Ovis aries: one gene and its partner. The protein of the gene in region 1 interacts with the protein of each later gene in a biochemical or structural test. Links are inferred from orthologs where the notes say so. Each region holds a gene or a part of one and is shown on either strand. Other genes may lie near its edges. The genes, in order: F5 and PROS1.

What was found.
Region 2: the proteins of F5 (region 1) and PROS1 form a complex in vitro, tested with the Homo sapiens proteins (2 studies listed by BioGRID). The link is inferred for Ovis aries from reciprocal best matches to the Homo sapiens genes F5 and PROS1.

The regions. Positions count from the first base shown.
Region 1 is NC_056065.1:36,462,093-36,465,911, reverse strand, and holds part of F5 (coagulation factor V), read left to right. Parts: coding exon 1-825; intron 826-3,819. UniProt on the Homo sapiens protein: Central regulator of hemostasis. It serves as a critical cofactor for the prothrombinase activity of factor Xa that results in the activation of prothrombin to thrombin.
Region 2 is NC_056054.1:159,245,638-159,250,088, forward strand, and holds the start of PROS1 (vitamin K-dependent protein S), read right to left. Parts: upstream 2,833-4,451; 5' UTR 2,725-2,832; coding exon 2,649-2,724; intron 1-2,648. UniProt on the Homo sapiens protein: Anticoagulant plasma protein; it is a cofactor to activated protein C in the degradation of coagulation factors Va and VIIIa. It helps to prevent coagulation and stimulating fibrinolysis.

The DNA of each region.
Region 1 (3,819 bases):
CTCTCCAGACCTCAGCCAGGAGTCTCTCTCTCCAGACCTTGGCCAGACGGGCCTCTCTCCAGACCTCAGCCAGGAGTCTCTCTCTCCAGACCTTGGCCAGACGGGCCTCTCTCCAGACCTCAGCCAGGAGTCTCTCTCTCCAGACCTTGGCCAGACGGCCCTCTCTCCAGACCTCAGCCAGGAGTCTCTCTCTCCAGACCTTGGCCAGACGGCCCTCTCTCCAGACCTCAGCCAGGAGTCTCTCTCTCCAGACCTTGGCCAGACGGACCTCTCTCCAGACCTCAGCCAGGAGTCTCTCTCTCCAGACCTAGGCCGGACAGCCCTTTCTCCAGACCTCAGCCAGGAGTCTCTCTCTCCAGACCTTGGCCAGCTTGATCTCAAGCAGACATCACCTCCTCTAGATCTTGATCAGACATCCCACACTTCTGAATCAAGTCAGTCATTGTCTCTTCCAGAATTTGGTCAGACTTTCCCTTATGCAGATATTGGTCAGATGCCATCTCCTCCACCAGACTCCACACTAAATAACACTTTTATACCAGAAGAATTTAATCCACTGGTTGTAGTAGGCCTCAGTAGAGATGATGGAGATTATATTGAAATTATTCCAGGGCAGAAGGAAGAGAGCAGTGAAGAAGACTATGGTGAATTTGAATTTGTAGCCTATAATGACCCTTACCAAACTGATCTTAGGACAGATATCAGCTCCTCCAGAAATCCTGACAACATTGCAGCATGGTACCTCCGCAGCAACAATGGAAACAGAAAAAATTATTACATTGCAGCTGAAGAAATATCCTGGGATTATTCAAAATTTGTGCAAAGGTTTGACCAGTTCTTATATTCTCATTTTTTCCACTAGTGCTAAAAAAAGTAATTACAACAGTCTAAGAAGATGATTTTGGACAAATCGTGCTAAGTATAATTTAGTTCCCCCATATAGTGCAACTTGGCTTATACTGTTTCCATTGTCAATTTCAAGATAAGCTTTTCCACTTCAGGTGACATCTGGATAACACAAAAGCCATCTCTGTGAGAAGTCTTTGATATGCTGTACTTAAATCAGCACCCTCCTCTCTCTTCTTTGCTCATCAAATATATTCCTACTCCTTCTTGCTCCAGTGCAGAGCCCAATCTATCAATGTTGTTGTTGTTTAGTTGCTGAGTCATGTCTGACTCTTTGTGATCCCATGGACTATAGCCTGCCAGGCTCTCTGTTCATGGGATTTCCTAGGCAGAATACTGGAGTGGGTTGCCATTCTTCCTCCAGGGATCTTCCCCCACCTAGGGATTGAAACTGCATCTCCTCTGTCTCCTGTTTTGGTAGGCAGATTCTTTACCACTAGCACCACCTGGGAAGCGACTTATCAATAGCTATAGGATAATCAATACGATTTCACTGAAGTTGGCTTCAAATCTAAATTTGTGATGTAGAAATCTCCTTTTGCCATTACTTAACAAAAATATTTTTAAATTGTTAACTGATTAGTATGAAGTATATACCATCTTGATGAAGATTAAGTCAAATTCCATGTGATTCCAGTTGCAGAGGTCAAGGGTATAAAGTAGCTTAGAAGCAAAAAGCAAGTTTATGCCCTCGATTGAGCCATTCATTAGATTATGATTCATCTTGATTGGAACTTTTATTTTAACTTGGTTTATAACATCACTCAGTTAATAATTCTTTGTGTGTGTGTGTGTGCTCAGTCGTGTCTGATTCTTTATGACCCCATGGACTGTAGCCGGCCAGGCTCCTCTCTCCATGGAATTCCCTAGGCAAGAATACTGGAGTGGGTTGCCATGCTCTCCTCCAAGGGATCTCCCTGACCCAGGAATTGAACTTGCATCTCTTATGTCTCCTACATTGACGAGCAGGTTCTTTACCACTAGTGCCACCTGGGAAGTCCAATAACTCCTTAATGAGGGCTTATTCTCTCCTAGGCATTGTGCTAAGCGCTGAGACGGTAAAAGAGAATATAAATGCAAGTGATTCCTGCTCTGATGGAACTTGTGTCTAGTTGGGCAGGTAGATATGAACCAAGCACTCATATAAATAAGTGTAAAAAAATTAACCATGATGAAGACCAATAAGGAAAGGTGATCAGTGGTGATATGAGAAGTGGGAAGTCTGACTGGAAAAGTGACATTTGAGTTGAGATCTGAAAATGAACAGAAAGTGGAGAGGGGAGAGCATTCTAGACAGAGAAAACAGCATGATGAAGGCCCTGGGGAAGGAGGAAGCCCTGAGACTAAAGGCCTTGGTAGCTGAAGCTCAAGATGAGGGTGTGTGCTAAGAAAGTGTTTGGCTAGCTCTGTAGAGATAAGATACTACTAGGCTTTGTGGGCCCTGGGAAGAATTTCGATGTTCTTCCAAGAGCAGTGAGAAACCGTCAAAAGTTTTAAGCCACTCCTAGTTGATTGGGATATTTGCAGTCTTTTTAACAAGCAGTTACACAAAGTGGGTCCCAAGATCTGCTTCAGCTCTAACATTTTAGGGTTCTAGCCACTTTTCAACCATAGAGTTGAAGGAGTTGATGCAATTTTGTAAGTGGACTGACTTACAACAGAGAGTTTTTAATGGATTGACATGCATTTTTTAAAGTTAGTTTTCATTTTAATTTTCTCAATTATGGAAAACCACATTGGACTGGGTTCTGTATTCTGGGATGACAAGACAGAGAAAGAAGAGAAAGGGGTACAAAAAGCAACTACAAATTCTTGGGTATAGCTGATGACATGGTAGCTGATGGCCATATTTATACTGTCTAAATATAGCTCATAGCTTTCACAAAAGCTAGCTGTTACCCTAATAAATTAAAATCAAAGTGCAACTAGAGTAAGTAAACACAACACATGGTGTGATTCAGAGAAATTATTTCATTAATCTGGTGCCAGTTAACGTCTGGTGCCAGACATTTCCATATTAAAACTCTGAGTTTAAGAGACTTTCTCCTGTGACTTCCTATTTAACTGTAACACCCTTTACTATATGAGAATAAGTAGTTTATCTGGGGATTGCTAAGCAAGTTCCTGAGGGAGTAAGGTTTTCTAGAGTGTAAAGAGATGAAACCAGTTCCTTCAAAACCTCATGTGTGTCGCGGGGGAGAATCCCATGGACAGAGGAGCCTGGCCAGCCACAGTCCATCGGGTCACAAAGAGTCAGACGTGACTGAAACGACTTAGCACACACATTTATGTATGTTCTAGGGGGCTGTATACCATGCTTAGAGTCTGGAAGCATGGGATTACTAGTATAGCAAGACTAGAAAGTAGGCAGAATGGGATTCTCTAATAATGGCTTGTACTGTATAACAAATACTATGAGATTCATGGGTGAGCTTCTGGCCTGTTTCCCAGATTCTTGGAGAAGGAAATGGCAACCCATTCCAGTATTTTTGTCTGGAGAATCCCATGGACTGTAGCCTGTCAAACTCCTCTATCTGGGGTCGCAAGAGTTGAATACAACTTAGCGACTAAACCACCCAGACTCTAGGGAAATCTAATATTCAGTAGGAAAATCTGATATGCTCTAGCCCCAGACTGAGCTGGTGAACCACATACAGAATGATGTGATCTAGCAAAAGCAAATGTGGGGAGAGTGGCTACTTTCAGAATATAAAACACCTACCCATCCAGTGGCCTTTACAGAGGTGACCCTCTAAATCAACTGACCATTATCATCTGCCTGTCCCAAACCCTGGCACTATTCCATTGCATGACTTTCTCTACTTTTAAAATTAAAATCTGCTATGTTGATATCTGATTATATTTGTCATTCATTAATTGGAGTTGTTGTTGTTTAGTGACTAAGTTGTGCTT
Region 2 (4,451 bases), on another chromosome or scaffold:
CTCAGCTTTTTTTTTCCCCCTCTTTTTTTCTTTATTTCTTCTTTTCTTTCTTTTTCTCTCTTCCTCTTCCTTCTTCCTTCCCTTTGCCTTTAGTTATCAAGAGTCATTGCTGTTGCTTATAGCCAAAGAATATTAATTAATATAGGTATTATCAGGCTTCTCACATTTTTCTCAGTATTTTAAAAGTTTAAATAGGAATAGATATCACTTAGCTATTAAAGAGTTTTACTGAACTTGGTGGACAGAAAAGATTGATTATGAAAAGCAAGGTTCTACATCCTAGATGTGATTAACAGCAGAAGAATATGGCACAGGGTGTTGTTATTGATGATGATGCTGTATACCAGACATTGTCTCTAACTCTTCCAGCACCAACCCCAACTCTAATCTAAACTTGATAAAAATCTCTCCATCACTGCAACACATTTTGAACTCTGAAATAAAGGGAATTTAAGAAAAGACAAAGCTAGATAAATGGTAAAAAAAAAAAAAAAAAAAAATTCAGAAAAGGAAAGAAAAAGTAGAAAAGAGAAGAAAAACAGGAGTCATTAATGTCCAGGGTAGACACCTAAGCAGAAGTAGATGTCTGGAAAGGACCAAATTAGCACAGCCAAAGGGGACATCCTCTTTCCTCTATTTTTCTTCACACAGCCTTTAGTGTGGCATACAATATATAAAAGAATAAACTTTAAATCAATAGATAGATATACATATAGATCCAAATCTATATGTATGCATGTCTGAAAAGTCAGTTCATATCTCTGAACAATTTCAAAAAAGTTTATAAACTTTTTCCTTTAATGACTATTTCTATGGACTAAACAATGAATCATATAACAAATAGAACTTTAATTCTATCTCAAGTTTAAAATCTCAGGGAGTAAACACATTCCATCTATATCTCAGTTTTCTTATCAGTAAGCCAGAAATGATTTTTAATCCCATTAAACTATTATACTTTTTAAAACAAAGGTGTTATAGTGCCACCTATTCTTTATGGCCATATGAAGAATTAATTCTGCAAATTAATTCTTTATAGAAGAATTAATTTATCTATTCTATTAGTGTGTATATATAACAAGTGTATTTCTCCCTATGTATGGCATGGTTACACGGGTATAATGACAAACACAGCACACATCATTTTTAACTCAGCTACAGACAATGGTTTGTAAAACCAACTTAGCAACTACACAACAACAAAAGATTTAACAAAAATGTAACAATCTCTACAAAAACAAATGGTTTAGCAAATTTCTGTGGTGACAAGCAGTAAGTGTAGCAAGCCATTTTTGCCTTTTTCTCATTTCCAAAACACTGGTTATCAGACAAACACTTGATTGTCCTACTGAGCTATATAGATAATGAGTTAGTGTATGTGGTCCACATATAGGCTTAATGACAGAGGTTTGTATGTCGAAGTTCTGCAACAGACCTTTAATATAAAATCAATAAATGTTCTTTTAGCCTTTAAATTAGAATTTTAAAACATCACATTCATCCTGATCTGTAACTAAGAAAAATCAGTAGAATGTTGTGTGTGTTATGTTCAGTCGCTTCAGTCCTGTCTAACTCGCTGTGACTCTATTAACTGTAGTCCACCAGGCTTCTCTCTCCAGGGGATTTTCCCAGAAAGTAGGTTGTCCTTCTCTCCTCCAAGGGATCTTCTCAACCCAGAGATGGAACCCACGTTTCCTGCGTTAGCAGGCAGCTTCTTTACCACTTAAACACCGAGGAATGTTAGTAAATTCCTATTTAATTCTCCTGAAATTATATCTTTGTGAAACTTACAATGGAGCTTTAACCATTTATGGTGTAATTCAGTTTATCTCTCCCATGCCATTTCCTGAGAATAAAACATATCACAAGAAAGCATTTTTGACCAGCGAATGTGCTTAAACTTTAGAGAACAAACTAAGTGGCAACTAAAACGTACTAAATACCTTGATATGATTACATTCTTTCACAGAAAACTCAATATCCTGCCTTGAATCGAGGCACGGAAACATAAAGAACAAGACATACGAAGATAAACTGAAAAGAATTCCTGCGATGATCTCAGAAGAGCGGCACTCAGTGCCAAAAACTGTCAGTAAAAAACGATCTGAGAACTACAATATTTAACAGTCCTTTAGACTTCAAGGTTAAAAAAATGATCTGCTATGCAAACGCGCAGTCATCTCCTAACAATTCGTTTGTCAATGTTGAGATAAGCAGAGCAAGATCAAAGTCCAGAAATTGCAGAAGGGAGGTAGGCTGCAGCAGGGGGTGCCGGTTGGGGTCAGGCGCTTGTACAAATGGAAGACAAGAGGGGGTTGCCTTTCCTCCCTACTTTTATACTGCAGTGTGCTCATCCTTGTCATCTGACTGAGAACTTCCACTGTTAGGGGCAATTGGTAGGTAGGTGTTCTAACTCCTTCACTGATGTTTAGTATCACTCTTGTTTTAGAATCTGTCCCGTAGGCAACACGACTCCCATTTGACCCTGCCCCACCATTACAAGGCCCGCTAGATACATTGCTGATGGAAGCATTTACTGGAAACTTTCTAGGAGGCTGCAGCCCCAGAAAAGAAAACCCGTCCAACAGGGCTCGTAGTTCAGTTGGCACCGCTGAGGGAAAGAAGACAAGACGCTATTGATTACTCACAGTTCGCCTCCAAGACGGGAAGCACTAGGGCGAGGCACGTCAGCAGCGTCCCCGTGAGCCCACCCAGGACCCTCATGGCGAAACGGGCGGAGGCGCGGGCAGAAGCGGAGGCGCGTTGCGGCGGGGACCCCAGCGCCCAGCGCGCGGCGGAGCTACGACCCGGGCGCCGCTAGTTGAGGACTGCGGCGCGGGGGCGCCTGCGAGCCAGTGCGCCAGTGCGCCAGCGGAGCCGCGGAGCCGGGGGCGGAGGGGACCGCCCGCTCCCAGCCCCCCGCCCGGCGGGGAAGTGATAACAGGGACATTTCCTGGAAGCTTTTCATTTCGGAGCTGGGGGCAGGGCTCAGGGAGAGAACTGGAGGCCTGGTAAACACTGTCGAGACATCCTTCCTGGCCCTTTCGAGACTCAGCGCTTCGTTCTGGTCTCCGGAATATGAAGTTTGCCAACAACAGGAAGCAAAAGCGTTTAAAACGACCATCTCCACCACCTCCAGCGAGCCGGAGTGGAAGACTTGAGTGGCCCAGAAGACAGAGGACTCAGAGATCAGGGTTCAGTTCAATTCAGTTCAGTCGCTCATCGTGTCTGACTCTTAAAGATCGGGGTATCCAGGCTTAAAGTTTAAAAGGAAAAAATCTGATGTTGGCGATGAAGATGTTAACCAAAATCTGGAAAAAATGAGAACTCTAAGTTGGCTGCGGAGAACAGAGCTAATGGAGGTTTTGATCATCAACGTTTTAATTTTGTTCTTGCATTTATAGTGTAAAGTATAGCAAAAAAAAAAAAAAAGTTCTGCGGAGAAAAGCGAATGTATCGGATTCTATCACCTTCAAATAGCTCATCTTTGGTTTTTGCATATTACCTCTGCTTTTTATGTTTAGGCATGCACATTTGAAACATGTTATTAATGTTTAAGACTAAGTTTAAGAACCGCCTAGATTAGAGTGGCCATGCTCTGCAGTTTACTAATTGTATTATCTGTAAAATGGAGATAATAGTAAGTTTTTACAGTGTTGAGGGAAGAATTTAGAGAGAGAACACATGTGAGGCAATTAGTGTGTTAAAGGGTAGCCCATACTTAAGGCACACTTCCTAAGTATCACTGTCAGTATTTCTGCCTAATCAATGTATCAACTGATTTTCTATGTGTGTCAAAGTCAATAGCCTGATGCTCTCTCAAGGGTGTTTCCCAGCTCTAGCTTTCTGTGGTTCTGTGATCCAGCTGGATGGAAGTTTATGTGGGTCACTATTTCTGAAAATGTGCAAAGGAGTTGCTGAACATATCCATATTCTTCCCTCTTTTAACTTCCTTCTTGCTATGTCTGAATTCCAAACCCAGGCGATTTAATTAAAAATATGTCTAATCTCTGTAGAATTGTTTGGTGTGCTAGCAATCAGAACATAAAACAAAATGACTTTTAAGTATTATATTTAATTACTGAATATTTAAATGCATTTAAGCCACAGCATTGCCTCATTCTTGAGGAAGAATTAAGAGTAGAATATTGGCTTTGAGATATCAATATTTCACAAGGGAAGACTTCAAATATCATGCATCAATAGCGTTCATAACAAAGCATCACCCATATAGACATTAAAAAATACAGAGTATGAAGAAAGGTTAGCGAAATGCAAAGGACCTAAAAAAAAAATCTTGATCTTTAAAAAAGTTCAACCGAGTGTGAAACTTTTAAATCATTTTAAGACCACAAATGTACATCACAGTCCTAAGATTGGTTGTCAATGGTGAAAAATTGTGTCCTACCTACACTATAATGTTGAATTTTGAAAACTTATACCCTGAAATG